Linked DNA regions of Caenorhabditis elegans. The protein of the gene in region 1 purifies or fractionates together with the protein of each later gene. This does not show direct contact. Each region holds a gene or a part of one and is shown on either strand. Other genes may lie near its edges.

Region 1 (10,714 bases):
CCACCAAAAAACGCACAAGAAACGAGATAATCGACGACTTTGAATCGATTTTCCCAATTCTCATAAGTAGAAGCTCGCCGTGAAAGTGAGCTCAACGATGGAAAGAACTTTGGAATTCCTCTCCAATCAGAAATATCCGAATATGAAGAGAAACTGTCGATATCCTTATCGATTTGTTCGGATGGAATATTATTGTCAGCTTCGGCGATGATTTCCGTGATACTTTTGAAGCCACTGAAAAAAAAAATTTGAAAATTTAGAGTTTTTGACAGGAAAAAAACAGCCTTTTTCTCGGTTTTTCAGGAGAAATTTGAAGAAATTTGTGATTTTTTTTTCATATTTTGTTTTAAAAAATTCCGATTTACTTCTGCATTTTCTGTGGAAATTTAAAAAAATTATTTTTGATTGAGGAAAAATGGAAAAAAAACTGATTTTTCGGTTTTTGAAATGAATTTCAAAAAAAAAAACGGAAAAATCCATGGTTTTTCTTTTTTTTCTAGAAAACGGTGCATATTTATTAAACTTCACAGGAAAAATTCTTTATTTTACTTTTTTTTCTAGAAAATTCCATAAAAGGTTCTGTAAAAAATTATATATTAGTTTTAAATGAAATTAAATGAAAATTATGGGTTTTTCAGTGAAGAAAGCATCGAAATTATTGCAATTTGCAGAGAAATTTCAGTAAAAATTGAGAAAAATATATCTAAATCTGGAGTTTAATTGAAATTTTTGAAATTTGATATTAAATTTTTTTTTTTGAAATTATCGGAAAAAATTAAGTTTTTTATCGAATTTTAAACTGATTTTTTTAGTTTTTTATGTGAAAATTGTGCACGAAATCTGATTTTTCTCACGAAAAAAAAAACTGAAAAATCTATAATTTTCCAACTGAAATTCTCAACCTCAATCCATCATTATTCCGTGTCGGCTGCTGCTGCTGTTGCTGGCTCGTCGAGCCAAAATCCATATCCTCATCTTCATCTGAAGTCGGTGGTGACGGTGTAGTGACAACGCGTTGTTTTCTCGGCATTTGTTAGGGGAAAAGCCTGTAGAAGGGGGAAATTAGTTTTTAAAAAATAATAACAAATCAGTGATATTTCTAAGCGAGCAAGTGAGCACTAGAATAAATTCAATAAAAGAAAAAACAATTAAAAGTTTAAAAATTAAAATATTTACAAAATTCTTCATTTCATTTTAATTTCAAATCATAAAATATTCTTCAGCGGAGGATTGAGAGAGAAATCGGATGGAGTGGGGGAGTTGTTTTGTATATTTCCGCATTCAAACCCCGGAAAATTCCGAAAAAAAAACACAATTTCCAGATTTTTCTAAGTTTTAAACGCGGAATTCTTGATATCATATACATATTATTACATGATGAATGACTCGATAACACATTTAGGATCAGTAGTACATTGATCCGGATCGAATTGTGATTCAAAAACACGAATCTGATTGTCTCGACAACGAACTGCAGCCGGAAGATATCGACAATTATGGAAAATCAGAAATTCCAGCGACATTCGATCTTTGAATTTGTCGGCGATCAATGCGATGCCACCGTATCGGGATCCACTGCAAAAAAAATCAATTTTTCGATTTTTCGAAAAATATATATATAAAGCTTTATTATGTTTTTTCATCAACAGATACAAAATTTTATGAAAAATTTCATTTTTTTCGAACTTTCGATGTTCAATTTTTCAATTATTTAAATATAAATATGCTGCTCTGAATGGAATAATAAATCTACTTACTGTTCCATTTTTTCGTGTATGAATTCTCGAATAATCTCACTGTACATGATACCCTCCTCGTCGTCTCTGAAAGAAACAAAATTGATGCGTTGTTGTTATGGTAACTAGGGTCTCGCAGCGATTTATCTCTTTTTTTTTAGTCGTAAAATCTTTTTTAATATTAAATTTTCTTTTTTTTACAATTTTTAAAGCTATTTGTAAGGGAAATAATTTAAAAATTGTTAATTTATCAATTGTTTGCCGATTTTAAGAGAAAAAAGTTTAGAAACAGTCAAAAATTACATTTTTGTGCTACATTTTCAAGAAAAACGGTAAAAAACTTGGATTTGCAGTTTGTTTCAGATCACAAATATATGAAAATCTCGAATTTTGAGCTATTTTTTGCAGAAAATAGATAGGAAATTGTGGATTTTTGTGCTAATTTTGAGAGAAAATTGCCTTTGTAAAATTGTAATCGCTAAAAACGTCCCAATTTATGCAATTTCTACAGAAAATGGTCCTGAACGCGCAAAATCCCCGAATTTTAAGCAACTTTTTTAAAAAGAAAACTGGTCAGAATTTCCAAAAATTATAGATTTTTGTGCTAATTGTTCGAAAAAAGATTCAAAAATCATCAAAATTGTGGATTTTCATGCTGATTTACATCTAAAACTGCTCAGTTTTAAGTTATTTCTACGGAAAATGATCCAGTGCGCGCAAAATCTCCAAATTTTCAATAATTTCCCAAACTTACAGCACTCTCGTGGCGATACCCCTGCAGAAATCGGCTTTCACAAGTGATTCACCGTGTCCTGTCGAACAAATCGAGATGGTTCGTTCACTGACTTGATCAAATGGTTCTTCGTATTGCCTTCGTTCAGACCATGTTCCACTTCCATATACACAGCTGTGACCAAGCCGTCCCGAGTGTTTTAGCACAATTCCACCGCTTGAAGTACCGGATTCTGAGTTCATTGTCTGCAAAAAAGACATTTTTCGTGGCGAAAATTGGAAAAATACGAAATTTTGATAGAATTCAGGGGGAAAAACTTTTGAAAATCGATTTTTTTTTTGCAAACCAAATTGGCATTTTACTGAAAAGTGGTAATTTTTTATTTGAAAACCGTTTTTTTTTTTCAGAGAAATTTAGACCCAAAACCGGCTAAAATAGAGGAAATTCGAGATTTTTATAGAATTTTGCCAAAATGGAGTTGACAATCTGGTTTTTTAAACTCGTATTTCGATCGAAATAGCTTTTATACGTGTGATTTGCCGGAGAAATGCTAATTTTCAATTTTAAAACCTGTTTGTTCCGGGAAAAATGAAAATTCCACAAGGAAACGTAGAATTTTGATAGAACTTTGGTGGAAAATAGATTTAAAAATGGGATTTTCCACCTTTTTTCTTCAGAAACTCACATTGAAACTGCTTTTTTTTCATAGAAATATAAAGGAAAATGCTATTTTTCGATTAAAAAACTTTTTTTTTGTGGCCAATTCTGGATCGAAAACGCGAAATTTGCATCGAAATTCGGCGAAAATTTTTTTTTAATCGGATTTTTCAGCGTTTTCACAGAATTCAGCCTAAATAGCTTTTTTACGTAAGAATTTAACGGAAAATACGAATTTTTCATTTTGAAAAATCGGACTTTTTGGTCAAAAAGTAGTTAAAAATATATTTTTCGGATTATTCTTGGAGTTTAATAGAAGAAATGCTAATTTTCGACTAAAAAAACGGTTTTTGTGGACAATTAGGCAAAATCTGAGTCAAAAGGGCGGAATTTGCATTGAAATTCGGTTTTTTCTAGCAAAATATTAATGAAAATGCCATTTTTTCGAAAAAGGCTTTTTTTTTCGGGAACTCTGAAATTTCTTGGGATCTGATAGAAGAAATGCGCTAATTTTTCATATTTTGAACACATTTCCCTGAGAAAAGGAACCAATCTCGAATTTTCCTTCATCCTTACATTGGTATTAATTGAAATAGCTCCTACAGTGTCATGTGTATCATATGGATGAAGCATTCGATGTAAATACTTCTCAAAGCTCTCTTTCGCCGCTTTTGATACGAGTTCTTCAGGTGTACACGTTGGAAAATCTGAAAATCCAATGATTTTTCGAGATTTAAAATTCAAAATTCAGAAATTTACCATTTTTAACAGCATATTTCTCTGCTCCACGACCAACAAGAATAAGGGGATGAAGAAGACGTCGCTGCTTCCACCAATTGCTATGTGCAAGGTGACGTGCCACTCGGGACGGATGGAAAACGTTGGAAATCGCGCCGACCGCGCCGAAACTGAATTTGAAAATAATCGGTAAGGGAGAAATGTATGGTTTTTAGGGAAACCTTAAATTTTTGGATGACATATATGATGCTTCACATTCAACTTCTTGATCGATAGTCAAATGTGAGCCGAATCCACAGTTGAACTTTTCTATTCTTTCAAGATCCTGCAAAAAAAATTAAATATATTTCGTGAGAAAACCAAAAAAGAATTCCTCACCGTCAACGCATTCTCAACAGTGCCTGTACCACACGCAAAACGGCAGTCCTCGGCAAGACTTGCGTCGAATTTAGCACACGCACCTGCAAGATTTAAATTTTGCCGCAAAAAATCGATAATTAGTGTGCGCAAACCTCCGTGCACCGCGATTATCTCGCAGTTGCTCATTTTTTGAGGTTTTCTTCGAGTAGAACTCCACTGAATCGATGTTTCAGAAGGATTTTATTATCTCCGGCCACCAGGACGGGAATGTCGTATTTGAATTTCTGAAAATTAGGAATTTAAACTACCTATTTTTAAATTTTCTGTATTTATATTTTTATTAAATGAGAAAATAGAATACAAAACAAAAAAAACGTAGACGTAGAAGAAAGTCTCACTTCAATTAGCTCTGGCGATTCTTGGGCGAGATTTTTCTCGACGACAACAATCCCGGGATGCTTTTTAAGATAGTTTTTGAGTTGTCTGTGAAAATGTACGCACAGCGAGCAGTTTTGCGATGAGAAAAGCACGAGTTCGACGGGTTTGGACGAGGAGAAGGAGCGCTGCAAAGCACGAGGAAATGTGATCATTTGAATTGGCGTCAAAATCACATGGTAAAACTAGGCCGCGCATGACCTGAGCACGAGACACTCTCTCGGCCATTTTCAAGTTGGCGCGCTGTGTCACACACTCCGGTGGAGCGTGTTGTGGCGGAGTGTATGAGAAGTGTGCGAGTGGTTTGCGTTCGGCGCACTCCGCCCACTTTTTCCGTGCCGCACGCGGGTCTTTCGAATTTTATCGATTTTTTAAAAGTGTTTTTTTAGTTTATTTTTGTTTTTGACGAATTTATGAGGGATTTCTTGCGATTTTGGATTTTAAATAAAGAAATAGGTTTAAATATAAAAAATATCTTTAGATAAAGTATTCCTAATCGATGAAACAAGTGGAGTCAAGGAAATCTCTAGTTTTTCCTTCTAAATACTCGAAGCAAGCCAAAATGAACGAATTTTGTGATAAGATTTCTTTTAAATTGTTCAAAAATTGTTATTCTGTTCAAAATCAGGTGTTGGAAATTAATTGATTTTGGCTGAGAAATCGTTATTTGGAGAGTTTGAACAGTAAATTGAACTCTTTTTTTTCTACAGAAATATCTCTGAAATTCGGATGCAAAAACCTTTTTTCTTTTAAGAAGCCTAGTGTTATCCCTATGCATCTCGAAAAACTTCTCAAAAATTCCTGATGTTTGAATTCGAAAAATCGATTTCCGATACTTCCAATATTATTTTCTACGAAATCGTCATTTAAATAGTTAAAATGCAGTATTTCCGTCGTTAAAATATTGTTTTCGGCCAATTTGGAGGAAAATTTTCAATCAACACACTAACCTTTTCTTTGGAAATCTAAAAAAAACTCTAGATTTCCATATTTAGCTCAATGCTCTCCAACCTGCTCCGTACAACTTCTCGTAACCTTTCCACCCCTCCAGTCGTGAAAGTTCTCTCCCTAGATGCTCGTGATACACTAATCACGATGAAAGAGTCTCCACCGATAGTTTATTCCCGTTTCGCGAGGCAATATGATTTGGAAGTCGACTCCGATCAAATCATGGGAAGCTTTCTTAAAAATTATAAACGAATGAGCATCGCATCGCCCTGCTTTGGGTTCAATGGAATTGGAAACAAAAGTTGGTGGATTGAAGTAGTTTCTTCTACGCTTTTGGATGTAGGTGTAATCTGAATTAGGCAAGTCCCCTACTTGATAGTTTCAGTGTGCTCCGGATTCTGAAAAAGGACGGGTTGAAGTGATCGCTGGAGCTTTGTACAATCACTATGCAACTCCTGAGCCGTGGAAACTAGTTGAAAGCGATGTAAATTTTGTGAATTGTTGAAAAAAAAATACTGCAATTTTTCATTTTAGACGCGCCAAACTCTGCAAAAACTTCGCCTGAAAGGAATCATCCTGGTTGTCATCTCCAATTTCGATAGTCGCTTGAAATCTCTACTTTCTCAATTCAATTTACTCGATCTTTTCTCCATGACAGTTCTCTCCGGCGAAATTGGGTACGAAAAGCCCGATGAGAAGATCTTCCAGCTAGTTGTCAACCATTTCGATCTAATTTCTCCCTCGGAAATCTTGCACATTGGAGACAATTTGAAAAATGATTTCCATGGCGCCAAAAATTTCGGCTGTAGAGCTCTATTGTTTGATTCATCTTCCTCTCATAATGTTGAACCGTTTTATTGTATTTCTCGTTTGTCAGATTTGAAGCTTTATTAATTAATTGAATTTAATAAATAGTTTTAATTTTTCAGATAATGGATCTCTTCCGAAAACCGAAAAAGCGCAATGCACCCGTCGTTCGTAAAAAGGAAAGCTCAAGTGATGAGGATCAAGATTCAGAAGTGAAGGATGTGATTCAAAAGCGACGTCGTACGAATCCGATGGTCCAGTCGGTGAGATCTTGGTACTTTAGTGCTCCAAAATTTTGGAAAATCCCAATAAACTTTGAAATTCAGACCAAACAACTAGACGCCTCAACACGACGTGCTGATAATTCATCGGATGATTCTGACGACTCTGACGACAATCAGGATATCGCAGTAGCAACTCACTCGTTCGCCGCTTCAGGAGATGCCGGTCCATCTGGACCACGTGATCAAGGTGCCACTGCAACACTCGAAGTGGACACAGACTATTCACACGATGCCCAGGCTCAATTCGAACGAGTCCAACAGCAACTGAAGGAAGGCGTCGAGAAAGACGGAAAAATTCTGTACAAGGGAAGTGCACTGTATGGAGCCAAAGAGGCGAAGGATACGGCCAAGGGAAACGCTGCAAGTGGTTATAATCGAGTTGGGCCCGTTCGGGCGCCACAATTTCTACGACAAACAGTCCGTTGGGATTTTGCACCGGATATTTGCAAGGATTACAAGGAGACTGGATTCTGTACGTTTGGAGATTCGTGTAAATTTGTGCACGACCGATCGGACTATAAACACGGATGGGAGATTGATGAGGAGTACGAAGCAGGAAAATATGGTGCTGAAGACGATGCGAATTACGAGATTCATGAAGGCGACGATACGTTTCCGGAGGATTGTTTTATTTGCGGAAATCCATTTGTTGATCCGATCGTGACAAAATGCAAGCACTACTTTTGCACCGGTTGTGCGTTGAAATCGTTCCAAAAGTCGTCAAAATGCCCAATATGTCAGCAGAATACTGAGAATATTATGAATACCGCAAAAGGTTTGAAATAGAACGATTAATTCGTGATTTTCGCAAGTTTTGGAAGGTTTTTCGGCGCAGTTTGATACTTACATGTTACGGAGGATACTGCACGTGGACAAGCGTGAATCTTTTTTCACATTTTTTGGACAATAATAAGACATTATAACTAGAAAGAGAGGAGGAGCCTAATTTCGCAACTCTGCGGCACGATTTTTCGACAATTTTCCACTGTTTTTTTTTTTGGTTTTTTTTCTGGTTTTTTTTTCCAAAAAACTTCGATTCTTCCTGTTTTATTTTTTTTTACGAGAAAAAAATCAAATTTAATTCGCATAACATTTCGATTATAGTTCATATTTTTACAACCAATTTAGCTTGAAATATCCTCCCAATCTAATGTGAATTAAAAGGAATAAAATCGAAACTTTTATGGAAAAACCCCAAAAAAGAAAAAGGAAAACCGTGCCGCATGGTTGCAAAATTGGTTGCAAAATTACGTTCCGCCTCTTTTTCTGCTTTTTGGAAAACTCATTTCTTTGGTAATTTGGAATGTTGGAAGAGAATCAGCGAAAATAGTTCAAAAAAGTAAATTTCAGCCAATAACTCACAGTTGTCCGGGTGAAGTACAAAATCCTTCGTAAATTTACATGCAACAAACCGCGCTTTTAATCCAAAACTTGCGAAATTCACAAGATAGTAGCTCGAAAAATGTGGCAAAAAAAAATTAATTTTTAAATTTTCAGAGCTCCTAACCTACCTGAAACGGAAGAAGCAACAACAGAAGCAAGAAGCCGAGAAACAGGAAGAAGAAAAAGATAGTGACGATGATGAAAAACCACACGAATGCGACGATCACCATCATCATGATCACGAAGATGAGCCCGAGGAGCCTGAAAACGACTCAAATGTTCCAGAAGCCGAGGAGAAGAGCGATGAGGAACAGGAGATTATGATGGAGGATGTGGAAGGGCTTGAAGGTGGAGAAAATGACTCTGAGAGTGATGATGATGATGCTGAAAAAGATTGATAATTTTTATTTTTTTTTTAAATATTTCTGTACGGTGATTGTCTGTGAGTAAACTAAATATGATTTTTTTTCTTGTTCGAGCCTTTTTTTAATTTCAAGATATTGTTCGAATCTTTATTCCATATTTTTTCTATGTTTTTTCAGATTTCTCCCATTTTAGCTCAAATTTATTTCAGCAATTTCAAAAATGTCGAGCAAATCAACAAAGCGAGCAAAAATCGAAGATCCGGTATGGAACGGCGAAAAAACCAAAAAATCTATTTTTACAACAAAAAAAACTAAAAAATACAATTTTGCAACGAAAAAAAACCAAAAAACAGTCCATTTTGCAAAAAAACAATAAATCAATTTTTGCACTAAAAAAAATATTTTAAAAAAACAATTTTGCAACAAAAAATCTATTTTTGCATAAAAAATCCAATTTTGCTAGAAACAAAGCGACAGTATAAGTTCCCCGACAAAGAAAAAAAAAGTCACATTTTATTCAAAAATCTGATTTCCAGAAGGACAACGTGTTCATGGTGGAAAAAGTGCTGGACAAGCGAACTGGAAAAGCCGGCAGAGACGAATTTCTCATACAGTGGCAAGGATTCCCCGAGTCTGACTCTAGCTGGGAGCCGAGAGAGAATCTCCAGTGCGTCGAGATGTTGGACGAGTTTGAGAGGGAATTTTCAAAGGTTTTGAAGAATTTTTTAAAGTTTATTTTACTTGAAATGGTCCTAAAAAGCGAATTTCATAGTGAAAATTGTTTGAAAAATCTTCGATTTTGCCCACTTTTCCGTGCTGCAACTGTTTAAATTAGATTTTTGTTCGATTATTCTCCTATTTTCACACGGAAAAGCTGGTAAACTTGAAGATTTTAACTAAAATTAGGTTTTTTAGAGTTAAAATTACAAAGTCATAAAATCCGATTTTTCTGCAACAAACTTATTTTATTTTTACAGAGAGAGAAACCAATTCGCAAACGACACAGCCAGAAGCCCGAACCTTCCGAAGATCAAGCGGATCCAGAAGAGGATAAAGATGAAAAGAAGGAAACGAATCAAAATGACAAATTCTCACTGGAAGGCAAGCAGTTAAAATGCATTGTCGGGCTCACCAAGGGACCTGGGGAACTTCATTTTCTGTGCAAATTCAGTGATGACACGGCACGGCTTCTTCCAGCGAAGGAGGTGAACAGTCGGTGAGTTTGGGAATTGCTCCCGGTTGATTAAAAGTGTATTACGGAAACACTCCACCCAAAAACTTTAAAAGTATCCGAAAAAAAATATTACGGGAACACAAAATTCTGAGAATGCGTATTGCGCAACATATTTGACGCGCAAAATATCTCGTAGCGAAAACTACAGTCATTCTTTAAATGACTACTGTAGTGTCGATTTACGGGCTCGAGTTTTGAAATGGATTTTTGTTCAAATAGTGGCATTTTTGCTTAATTTTAATATTCTATCGGTAAATCAAAAAAATATGATTTCGAAAATAGAGCCCGTAAATCGACACAGGCACTACAGAATTTACTGTATTTACTGTACTGTAGTTTTCGCTACGAGATATTTTGCGCGATACGCATTTTCAGAATCTTGTGGTCTCGTGATACGCGTCGATGGGGATTTCACTCTAAAATATGCCGGCTGTACTGCACATAAGTGCCGAAATACCGAAATACCACGAAAAATATGAAAAATTGGACTTTTTCACTAAGAAATTCGAGGAAAAACGGAACAATTGCGTTTAAATTGATAAAAACCATGGCGCGGTAATTCAAACATTCAAAATTTTTCTGACTATTCTGCGTATTTAAAACTGAAATCCCGATCGGCGCTAGAGTTTTTAGCTAGGAAGCGAACCTCAATTTGGCATTTAAAAAAGCTCTAAATTTCAGCTATCCGAGCCAAGTTATCAGATACTACGAATCCAAGCTAACAATCCAAGACCCAAAAGCCGACGAGCTTTAATCACTCCCCACCCCGATACACGTGTTCAATATCATGTTCTCTCATCTCATTCCCATATTCTTTTTGAATTATCTTGTAAAATCTATACCAATTTTTGTGCTAACCCCTGAAATCGAGACTAAATATTATTGAATCAATAAAAATTTCTTGAGACACATTACATTCGACATTCTATTTTCCATACAGATACCGCCCGTTCGTCGACGCTTACGGCGAATTTCTGAAGAAAAAGATGGAGAGACGACACAAACGGATTTCCGAGGGAAAGAAGAAGCGTTCG
Region 2 (10,714 bases), on another chromosome or scaffold:
CAATCGCGCTCCAACGAACGAGTTCAATTGGCGGAAATTCAAATAGGAATTAGGGGAAAACTGAGATTTTTTCAATTTTCAAAAAATCATATAAAATCAGGGAAATTTTTTTGAATTTTTTTATCATGATATTCGGTCATTATGGTACCGTAGGCGTGTTTTAAAGCAATTTCCCCACTGGGTGTAGTCCACCTTTAAGGAATATTGAATTTTTTAATTAAAGTAATTTAGAAGATTCCTAAAAAACCAGATAACAATATTTTATTCAAACTTTTGTTGTTTTTTCACCACAAATTTGAAAGCTGGTAGTTTAACATCCATAGTCTTTGTGTCAGCCGGGGAGAATTCTGAATTTTTTTAAAATTACTATTGATCTTAATATTGAAAAAAAACCGACTCTGAGTAATAGGGCTATGGTACCAAGTCAGTCCTCCTAGATCAATGTCGGCTTGGAGTAACTGATAATCACTAATTTTTGAGAACTTCGTTGTTTGCTCAATTTTCTCAAGAAGACAATCCTGCAAACGTTTCATATTGGATTCAGTTTCCTTATTGCACTTGTATATTTCTGTCGTATTAAAAGTTAATTTATCTGTAATCCTCTTTTCCCTTTCATCAACCAATTGACGGATTCTACTGAAATGATATTTTATCTGCAATTGCCCATATTATTATAAAAATAACTTCGAAAATTGAAAGCCTACCTCCGAAAGCTTTTCAATAAAAAGTTGTCTATTTGACATAGCTCTGAAAAATTGAAAATTTGCAAAATATCTTCTAATCTCTCAACCTACTCTCTAAATTCTTCTAGCTGCACTGTGAATGATTCAGCATTCAATTTCATCTGTTTCAGCCTGCATTCCAGTACATCTCTAATTTTTCCAGCTTCTACACTCATCAAAACTTTTGTATGACCTGTATGAACTCCAAACTCCTCGCAAGTCCTACACATTAGTTTGTCGATTGAGGGACAGTCGTGCTCCTGGAAATTAAGAATTTATTACTGATTTTCACGCAACTCTTTCCAATTTTTCAAATAATCTAAAGCATTTTGAACACAAAATTTTTGAAGTTAAATATGGAGTAGCGCCAGTGGGAAAATTGTTAAAAACCACTTCTCTGGTTCCAAAATTCACAAATATCATAGTTTAAATTTTTTTTAACTTCTAAATTTTTGAAAATTGGAAAACTCTCAGTTTTGCCACGTTTTGCCAAGAAAAAACATTTTAAAAAATTTTTGAAATTTTTCCATAGGAGTCTTTTCTAACATTTTCCCACTAGCGCTAACTTTTGCTCGTCTCAGTTTCTTTTGAAAAAATTCGAAATTTTCATATTCTACCATGTTTTCCTTATTAAAAAGAACATTCAACTATGTGTTTTCAGTTGAAAACAGTAGTGTTTTTTTAAAATTTGCTAGAAGATTCTAGAACATTCCAGAATTTTCTATAATTTTTTCAGAAGGTTCGAGAACATTCCAGAATTTTTTTTGAATTTTTTAGAAGGATCTAGAACATTACAGAGATTTTTTTCTAGAAGTTTCCACGTTTTTTTTAAAATTTTCTTAGATGTTCTAGAACATTCGGGAATTTTTTTTTAATTGCTAGAAGTTTCTAAAACATTCCAGAATTTTCCCAAATTTTCAAGAAGGTTCTAGAACATTCCAGAATTTTTTTGAATTTTCTAGAATGTTCTAAAACATTCCAAAATTTTCTCAAACCTTCCAGAAGGTTCTAGATCATTTCAGAATTTTCTTGAATTTTCCAGAATATTCTAAAACATTTCAGAATTTTCGAAATTTTCATATCCTACCATGTTTTCCTTATCAAAAAGAACATTCAACTATGTGTTTTCAGTTGAAAACAGTAGTGTTACAGATATTAAACTTTAAGAAATACCCAAAAAAAAACCATAAATTTCACTTTCAAAAAATTTATATGAAACTTTCGTTGCTTATCAGCTTAACCTACACTGCACAAAAACTCCGCAATATTATATCGATGCTCTTTGCACTTTGGCGGTGAGTTACTCGAACTAGCTTCCATCATCTCCATAGCCTGCATCAGACCAAAATTTTTCTGCAGGCTCTCCACATTTCCATTTTGGACCTCTGTTGTTTCAGAGCACTTTTTTGGGCACAAAATCACAGAATTCGAGATTAGTTTGACTGCACAGTTCTGACAAATCGAGTGACCACATTCTAAACTTTCGAAAATATTTTACAGAAGTTACAAAAAAAAACTCACTTAAAACTCGCGGAGCACGACTTTCATCTAAATTCGAATAATCTTCATTGCAAACTTCACACTCAAAAATTGCCATTTCATGTCACTAAAGGAGCATTAGATAACAAAATAGATTAGTAAGAGTATTTATATAATTCCTTGTGAAGCACGAAAAAAGTGAGTATTTTCAAGAATTTCGTATGATTCATAATTCATTAAAAAATACGAGTTGTATCCTTTTTGAGTCATAAGCATAAAATAGATAACACATTCAAACTCAATTACAAACTCAATTACATTTCAAACTCAATTATAAGTTGCAAAACCGATACCTACTACACAACTTGAAATGTCATTTGCCAAAGGTACCTATATGTAGACAGGCAGGCGCCTACTCGCCTATGCCTACTTCCTAGGCAAAACCATGCCCACCTACTACAATCAGTTTTTGCGTAACTCTCACGAGCCCGTAAAAATCGTTATCAACTGGAAATTTGTGTCAACAAGGAGTCAGCCACCCGGTCGTTTCTCTAGTTTTTTCCCCGATTCTTCTCGAAATTCTCCAGTCTCCAGAAATGTCAAAAGTTATCGAATGTGAAATTTGCAATCTGGAGTTCTCAAGTGTCAATGAAGATCAGGTTCCAAGAATTTTGAGTGAGTATATTTTTTTCTGTCAAATACGAATACGAAGCTTGAATCTAAAAATAGGTAAATGATTCAGAATGTGGCCACTCGGTTTGTCAGTGCTGTGCGACAAAACTACTAAAAAACTCGGCGATTTCTTGTCCATTCTGCCGGGAAACAACAAGTGTCAGTGCGGTAAAGGATCTGCAAAAGAATTTTGCACTGCTGCAAATAATTGAACACACGAAAACTGAACGTGTAGAAGAGGTACGATATACTAGATAATTTAATTAATGAGAAAGTTTTTCAGGAAGATGAAGCAGATGTACCGCCAAAATGCGCGACCCATAAATATAATATGGCGGAGTTCGTTTGTCTTGTGAGTTTTTATCTGGAAAATTTGAAAAAAATTCTGGAATGTTTTAGAAACTTCTAGCAATTAAAAAAAATTCCCGAATGGTCTAGAACTTTCTGGAAAATTCAAGAAAATTCTGGAATGTACTAGAACTGTCTGGATAATTCGGGAAAATTCTGAAATGTTTTAGAATATTCTGGAAAATTCAAAAAAACTCTGAAATGATCTAGAACCTTCTGGAAGGTTTGAAAAAATTCTGGAATGTTTTAGAACATTCTAGAAAATTTGGGAAAATTCTGGAATGTTTTAGAAACTTCTAGCAATTAAAAAAATTCCCGAATGTTTTAGAAACTTCTAGCAATTAAAAAAAAATTCCCGAATGTTCTAGAACATCTAAGAAAATTCAAAAAAAAACCTGGAAACTTCTAGAAAAAAATCTCCGGAATGTTCTAGATCCTTCTTAAAAATTCCAAAAAAATTCTGGAATGTTCTCGAACCTTCTGAAAAAATTATAAAAAATTCTGGAATGTTCTAGAACCTTCTAGCAAATTTCAAAAAATTCTAGAATGGTCTAGAACCTTCTGTAAATTTTGAGAAAATTCTGGAATGTTTTAGAAACTTCTAGCAATTAAAAAAAATTCCCGAATGGTCTAGAACCTTCTGGAAAATACAAGAAAATTCTGGAATATTCTAGAACCTTCTGGAAAATTCGAGAAAATTCTGGAATGTTCTAGAACCTTCTGGAAAATTTTAGAAAATTCTGGAATGTTCTAGAACCTTCTGGAAAATTCGAGAAAATTCTGTAATGCTCTAGATCATTCTGGAAAATTTTAGAAAATTTTGGAATGTTCTAGAACCTTCTAGCAATTTTCAAAAAAACTCTAGAATGATCTAGAACCTTCTGGGAAATTTAAGAAAAATTCTGGAATCTTCGAGAACCTTCCTTAATTCTCCTTCCAGGACCCCAACTGCTCCTCCGACGAAAAGCTAATGTGCCGAACTTGCGAGGAGTTTGGAGTTCACGCCGGACACTCGAAGGGCCTCCTACAGACGGAAGCTTTGAAATTGAGAACGTTGCTCAAAGATAAGCTTTTAAAGTCCGAAGATCAGATTGTTCAAATTGACAAGAACATTGAAGAGGTTGACAGGTTAGTTTAAAAAGCGGTAGATCACAATTTTAGCTCGCTGAAATTTCAGCGCCCAGCAAACAAATCAAGTAGATGGGAAGGTGTTTCAAGATAAAAAAGATTTGGTTAGTGATTTTTTTTTGAAACGGGGACGAAATACAATTCCAGAACATTTTCAGATATCCGTCTACTATACCTCAATACGAGAGACCTTAGATGCCCAGGAAGCCCTTGCAAATCAAAAACTACGCGAAATTGCAGAATCCAATTCAGCTAGCAATAAATTACTACTAGAAGAATTGTCGGAATCCCTGGAAACCCAGAAATTGAAAAACGAGAAATTAAAGTCGTTTCTGGGAATGAGCAACGCGGATTTGTTAGCTCTAAATTCAGAAATTCAGCTCTGGGATGACTCGGAAAATACAGAAGTTGAGCCTATTCAGTTTGATGTAGCATTAAATTTTCCAGAAGTGAACAGGTTAGCTGTGGGTAAGTGGATTTGGAAGGAAGTTGGTAGATCAATGTCAGGAAGTTTTGTAGATGTGGCAAATGCTTCAATGTCAAGCTCTCTGGAGCCAGATGTAGGTTTTAATGATAATTTAGCATTTGTATTATAGGTACATGAATTTCAGAATATAACCCTGTGGCTTTGAATGTTCCAAACAAGGCAGTTTTTTGGTTTTAAAGTTTTCAATCATTTTTTACTTTGTACAAATACCGATAAACAACCGAAAATTCAACTCTCCAATCCTGATTTTTTTGGCCCTTTTCGGGCAATATAAATTTTTGAAATGTCTAATTTTTTGGTATTTTATTTTTCTGAGTTCTCATATTTTCTAGGATTTATTTTTTATCTCTTTTTTCTCCGCCTAGCCTACATTTAAGCTTAAGTCTAAGCCTAAGCTTCATCCTAAGCCAAAGGCTAAGCCTAAATCAAAGCCTAAGCATAAGCCTAAGCCTAAGTCTCGAAAACTTGAAAATCGGAAAACAAAAATTTACGTTTTTTCGATTTTCCGGAAAATCCAAAAATCGAAAAAAAAAATGATCTAAAAATTAATCATAAAATACGATTTTTATCTAATTTTTTTTCTATTGATAAGAGAAAAAAATTTCGAAAAATCAAAAAAAAAAACGAAAATTTTCGATTTTTCGATTTTTCTAAAATAAGCCCGCTCCCGTACAAACAGTGCTATAGGTGCTCGGCAGGTTTCAGGCAGGCGCCAGGCTCTGAAAACGTTTTATTTTACGAAAAACTATTACGAAATCCGTAGTAACTGACCACATAGAATTAGCAATAGTGTTGAAAATGGTGTATCTAAACTGATATGAGTCAGCAAAAAATATTTACCGGTTTCCGTGTATTCTTGGTCACCAAATTGTTATCGTCTTATCGCAGTGTCAGCGGGAGAACTCCCAAGACCATTCGTTTATTTTTCCAACCCTCCGTACAGTTCCGAAATGTCATTTATTGAGTGTGAAATTTGCAACGAAGATTTCTCAAGTGCCACCGATGAAAATATTCCTAGGATTTTGAGTAAGCTTTTGCTACCTTTCCTAAAATTAAAAAATAAAAATTCAGGATGTGGCCACACAATTTGCCATGGTTGTGCAGAAAAATTGCTCCAAAACTCTATGATTTTATGTCCATTCTGCCGGGAAGCAACTAATGTCAGTACAGTGAAGGATTTGCAGAAGAATTTTGCATTGTTACAGGCAGTTGAACACGCTAAGACTAGAACTGAAGAGGTTTTTTTTTCTAGAAATAAAGTTATACATATAAATATATATATATATATATATACATATATATATTTATATATACATATATATATTTATATACAAATATAAAATTTTTCAGAAAGATCCCATTGATTCACCGCCAAAATGCGCTTCTCACCAGTACAATTTTGCGGAATTTGTGTGCATTGTGAGTTCTTTATAGGTTTTGATAGGCCCCAAAATGTCAACTGTAAAAAATTTTTTAAAAAACTTACTATTAGCAGCCGACAACTCGCCGGTTTCTGAGAGTGCGAGGTTAATAGCCAAAAAATAATGGTACGTGGGAGCCTAGTTCAGGCCAAAGTCTTGGCCTAGATTTTGCTCAACTTTTGTGGTCAAGCTCGGCATTTGGCTATAAATTCTTGGCCAAGTTTTGCCCAAAAAATATTAGCTTGGATCAGAAGTTTGCTAAACTTGGGCAAAACTTTGGCAAAACTCGGATTCAGGCTGCACCAAAGGTTTGGCCCAAACTTCTCTTATTTCGTTTCAAACTTATGTAGAAGTTTGGCAGAGTTGGTTGAACCTTTTTTTAAACTTTGGTGGAGTTTGAATCCAAGTTTTGCCCAACTTTTGCTCAACGTCTGAAACAAGTTATTATTTTTTGCGCCAAACTTGGGCCAGAAGCTAGAGCCAAATGCACCTCTTCTTGCCTGAGAAACTAGCATTCTTTCCAGGAGCCCACCTGCTCATCTAGCGATAAGCTCATGTGCCGTACCTGCGAAGAGTTTGGAGCTCACGCCGGACACAATCGAGGCCTACTACAATCAGAAGCGGCAAAGTTGAGACAGTTTCTGAGCGGGAAGCTTTCAAGATCCGAAGACCTGGCAAGTAAAATTGATGCGAATATCGAAAAGATCGGAACAGCTCAGCTAACAAATCTCGACGATGGGGAGGTATTTCAAGAGAAAAAGGTTTCGATAATAGCCTTCTACGCTTCAATACGAGAAACCTTGGATGCTCTCGAAAACGATGCTCTTGCGACGCTTCAGAACATCGCGGAAACTAACTTTTTCACGAACGACCTGCTCATCGCAGAGCTATCGGAATCCTTGAACCGGCAAAAGCGAAAAAGTGCGGAGCTGAAGCTGTTTATGAAAATGAGCAATGCAGATTTGCTCGCGGTGAATTCTGCGCTGGAAGTGAGCAGCGAGAATGAGCTCTGGACTGAATTTGCTGATGTTGAGCCTGAAGTTTTTGACGCAGCACTGATTTTTCCAGAGATGGATAGGCTTGTCATACGTAGGTCTTTGAAAAAATATTGATTGGAAAAATTGGATTTTTCAGAAGTCACGAAAGTTTCTAGAATTGACAACAATTTGTCTCGCGAGTTTGAAGAATTTTGCAGGGCTAGGAGGTAAGCTAACGAGAGAAATATGAATTTTTATATAAAAGTTTTTTTTTTCAGACAACCTGCTAGCTGCTCTGATTGATGCCAACGACGGTTTTATAGGATATTTAATTGAAAATGTTTGTACATAAATAAAAATGTGATTGATGATTTTGTTGCGCTTCAAAAGCGAACAGACATGGGCCAATCTTTTTCAGAGTTTTTTTTCTACAAATTCGGCAAATCGGCAAATTTGCCGGTTTGCTGATTTGCCGGAAATTTTCAAATGCGGCAATTTGCTGGAGATTTTCAATTTTGGCAATTTGCCGATTGCCGGAAATTTTTAATTTCAGCAATTTGCCGGTTTGTCGATTTGCCGAAAATTATCAATTTCGGCATTTTGCTGGTTTGCCAATTCATCGGTATTTTTTAATTCCGGCAATTTTCCGGTTTGCCGATTTGAAGACATTTTCAACTGCGTCAATTTGCCGGAAATTTTCAATTTTGGCAATTTCAAAATAGATATAAGAAGATTCATAGGATGCGTACAATTTTACCGATTAAAATTGAAATTCTGAAACTTCCAAAAAAATGTGCAAGACCACAATTTGGCAAAAAATGTTCCACAGTTGCCGTTTTTCCGGCAAATTCGGCAAACTGGTAAGTTAGTTTTAAATTCCGGCAATTTGCCGATTTGCCGATTTGCCGGAAATTTTCAAGTGCAGCAATTTGCCGATTTGCCTATTTGCCAAAAGTTTTCAATTCCGGCAATATGCCATTTGGCCAATTTGGCCGGAAAAATTATTTGCCGCTTACCCCTGAGCGATTGAAAAACCCGCTTGTGATATCATGGGTAAAGATTCCAAGAGATTTGACTCAAAATCGCTGAGACGGAAGGATTATCAGATTATCACTATGGTTACCATGCGCCTGTAGCTATTTTTTAATATTTTTGCTCACCAAGATAATGCTCAAGAAGATTATGATCACCATAGCAACTGAGCTCTATCGCTGAGCTGGCTCCGCGGCTCTCCTCATTCCATCTCCTTTGGGTGCCTACGGAATGTGCGCCCTCCTTTTTTCTCTACTATTGATTTTATGTTAATTTCTACTAAACTTTGCTGGTTTTAATTATTCTCGACAGGTCGAATAAATGCTTGAGCAAAAAAAAACTTTTATTTTAAAAGTTTCAAGGTGAGCAAAACTTGCTAATATCCTTAATATTTTTTTCTGTATTCCAGACTCGGCTACAACTCCCACCGTCAGACACGTCATAGTAACTTACTTCTTCAATTATATCAAATTTTTAAAAAATTTTATTTTTTCATTTCTGCTCTTGTGCACCATCGTCCTAAAAAAAAGTGAGTTATTTTTCTGGAAAATGTTTCTTTTGTGTTCCGATTTTTACGAGTTTTTTTTTCAGAAATTGGTGATCTCGTTATGGAATTAATTGTTGAATTATTGAATTAAAATTGTTATAATAAATTGTTTTTTGTTTTGGTTTTGTTCCGCAAATTTTTTACCATATGGTATGACGTCATAGGGTTGTGACGTCACTACTAAAAAGCGAGGGTCTCCTTTTTCATATTAGAAATAATTTCAAGTAGAAATTGGAGCAAACAAGTGAATTTTGGGAAATTGACATGTGAATTGGTTATCTAAAGAATAGCACGAGTGAGGAAGCAACGACCTTGATAAGAGTGTAGTTTCAATTTCATTTTCTAATTTCTGTCGACTGGCCAGTAAAATAAACAAAATTCGAAAAAAAAATGTCGTTTCTGAAATGCGGAGTTTGCACCGAGGACTATTCAAATGTGATCACAAATCGGCATCCCAAGAATTTGAGTGAGTTTTGACTTGAGACCACTATTGCATAGCTTACGCTAAAAAATGTTCCAAGTTGCGTTGGGCTCCGTCCAAATTTAAAATGTAATAGGCCCATGATTAGCCCAAGAATATCATCTTACTAGATCCGGACAGTTTAACAAGAGTTTGGCCATTCTTGCATTCAGGCTGCGCCAAAAGTTACGTTGGCCCGAAACTTTTGCTGTGTCGGCTTAAACTTACGCTTAAAGCCTAAATCCAAAAAATGTCAAAATTTTGCCCAATTTTTGACCAAGTTTATCTAAATTCTGATCGAAGTCAATACTTTTCGGACCAAATGCCGAGTATAACTAAACTTGGATGGCCTGGATTAGCTTAGGCTAAGGCTTAGCTTAGGCTAATTCTTAAGCTTAGGATTAGGCTTAGGCTAATTCTTAAGCTTAGGATTAGGCTTTGGCGTAGACTTAGGCTGAGACTTAGGCTTGACTAACTAGCCATACAGACCATCAAAACTCGCAAGTCACTTTTCAGCTTGCGGTCACTCAATTTGCAAGGCCTGCTCTTCAAAATTAGTCTCTAATTTCAAAATCCTGTGCCCATTCTGCCGAAAAACCACTGAGCTTCGAGAAAATGAAAACTTGCAGACCAATTTTGCATTGCTAGAGGCTATAAGCTTGTTCAATGATATCAATGAGTCCGTTGTAAGTTGGAATTTTTCATTAATATTGTTGAAGACTTTACACACTATCAGACTGAGCCAAGATCATCTGGAGCACCACCAAATTGCGAGGAGCACACTTATAATCTGGCCGAGTTCGTTTGTATCGTAAGTTTGGTCGATGCACCATGATGCGTGAAATTGCAAGACATGGCGCATCGACCAAAGTTCTTCAGAGTCCAAACTGCTCCAGTCGAAGCAAGCTGATGTGCCGGACTTGTGAGGAGTTCGGAGTCCACGCAGGACATAGAAAAGGGCTTCTGCAGGTTGAAGCTAAGAAAGTTAGGCAGAACCTTCTAGAGCGGCAAAGGAAGCTTCAAGTCAACAAGAAACAGGTTGATGATAAAATTCAAGCACTGGAAAAGTGGGCTTAAAAGTGATTTGTAGAAAAAAGCGACTTCCTGTTTTCAGGGCTGCTCTCAAGAAGAATGATGAGCTATATAAGGAGAAATACGATGAGGTGAGTTTCATTTACAGGTTCTTTCAAAGCCTAAGCCTAAGTGGAAGCCTAAGCCAGAGCCTAAGCCTAAGATTAAGCCTAAACCTTATAGTAAGTTGTACTTTCAGATAACACGACACTACGACAGAATCCGAAGCTCTGTTGCAGAACGAGAAAAGACTTCAAAGGAAGTGTTAAAGAAGAGTGTGCTGACCAGTGAGGAGGACAATCGGATGGGTCAAATCTCCAATCATGTCATCAGGCATCTACTGGAGAAGAAGTGTGAGGAAGTGGAACAG

What was found. Proteins that work in one complex are often made in the same cells at the same time.
Region 2: the proteins of tasp-1 (region 1) and F43C11.8 fractionate together in Caenorhabditis elegans (co-fractionation; one large-scale study listed by BioGRID). This does not show direct contact.

The regions. Positions count from the first base shown.
Region 1 is NC_003281.10:10,753,463-10,764,176, reverse strand, and holds tasp-1 (TASPase homolog), read right to left. Parts: upstream 4,793-10,714; 5' UTR 4,623-4,792; intron 4,509-4,622; 5' UTR 4,411-4,508; coding exon 4,377-4,410; intron 4,326-4,376; coding exon 4,243-4,325; intron 4,190-4,242; coding exon 4,086-4,189; intron 4,035-4,085; coding exon 3,886-4,034; intron 3,834-3,885; coding exon 3,703-3,833; intron 2,715-3,702; coding exon 2,491-2,714; intron 1,824-2,490; coding exon 1,758-1,823; intron 1,576-1,757; coding exon 1,371-1,575; 3' UTR 1,171-1,370; downstream 1-1,170. Other genes in the region: dpy-28 (Condensin complex subunit 1), read right to left, coding at 17-234, 903-1,030; K01G5.10 (Haloacid dehalogenase-like hydrolase domain-containing protein 3), read left to right, coding at 5,659-5,946, 5,993-6,091, 6,142-6,501; rnf-113 (putative E3 ubiquitin-protein ligase rnf113), read left to right, coding at 6,540-6,677, 6,741-7,473, 8,196-8,479; Chromobox protein homolog hpl-2, read left to right, coding at 8,667-8,708, 8,983-9,156, 9,424-9,662, 10,621-10,714.
Region 2 is NC_003280.10:2,326,734-2,337,447, forward strand, and holds F43C11.8 (RING-type domain-containing protein), read left to right. Parts: upstream 1-5,786; coding exon 5,787-5,862; intron 5,863-5,907; coding exon 5,908-6,074; intron 6,075-6,186; coding exon 6,187-6,255; intron 6,256-6,781; coding exon 6,782-7,346; intron 7,347-7,391; coding exon 7,392-7,461; intron 7,462-7,512; coding exon 7,513-7,537; 3' UTR 7,538-7,605; downstream 7,606-10,714. Other genes in the region: ZK1240.8 (RING-type domain-containing protein), read right to left, coding at 262-347, 398-653, 705-747, 795-982, 1,968-2,197, 2,244-2,319; ZK1240.1 (RING-type domain-containing protein), read left to right, coding at 2,798-2,876, 2,944-3,113, 3,157-3,225, 4,162-4,349, 4,399-4,453, 4,508-4,817, 4,869-4,909, 4,961-4,981; F43C11.7 (RING-type domain-containing protein), read left to right, coding at 9,204-9,279, 9,790-9,959, 10,010-10,084, 10,153-10,340, 10,388-10,436, 10,544-10,714.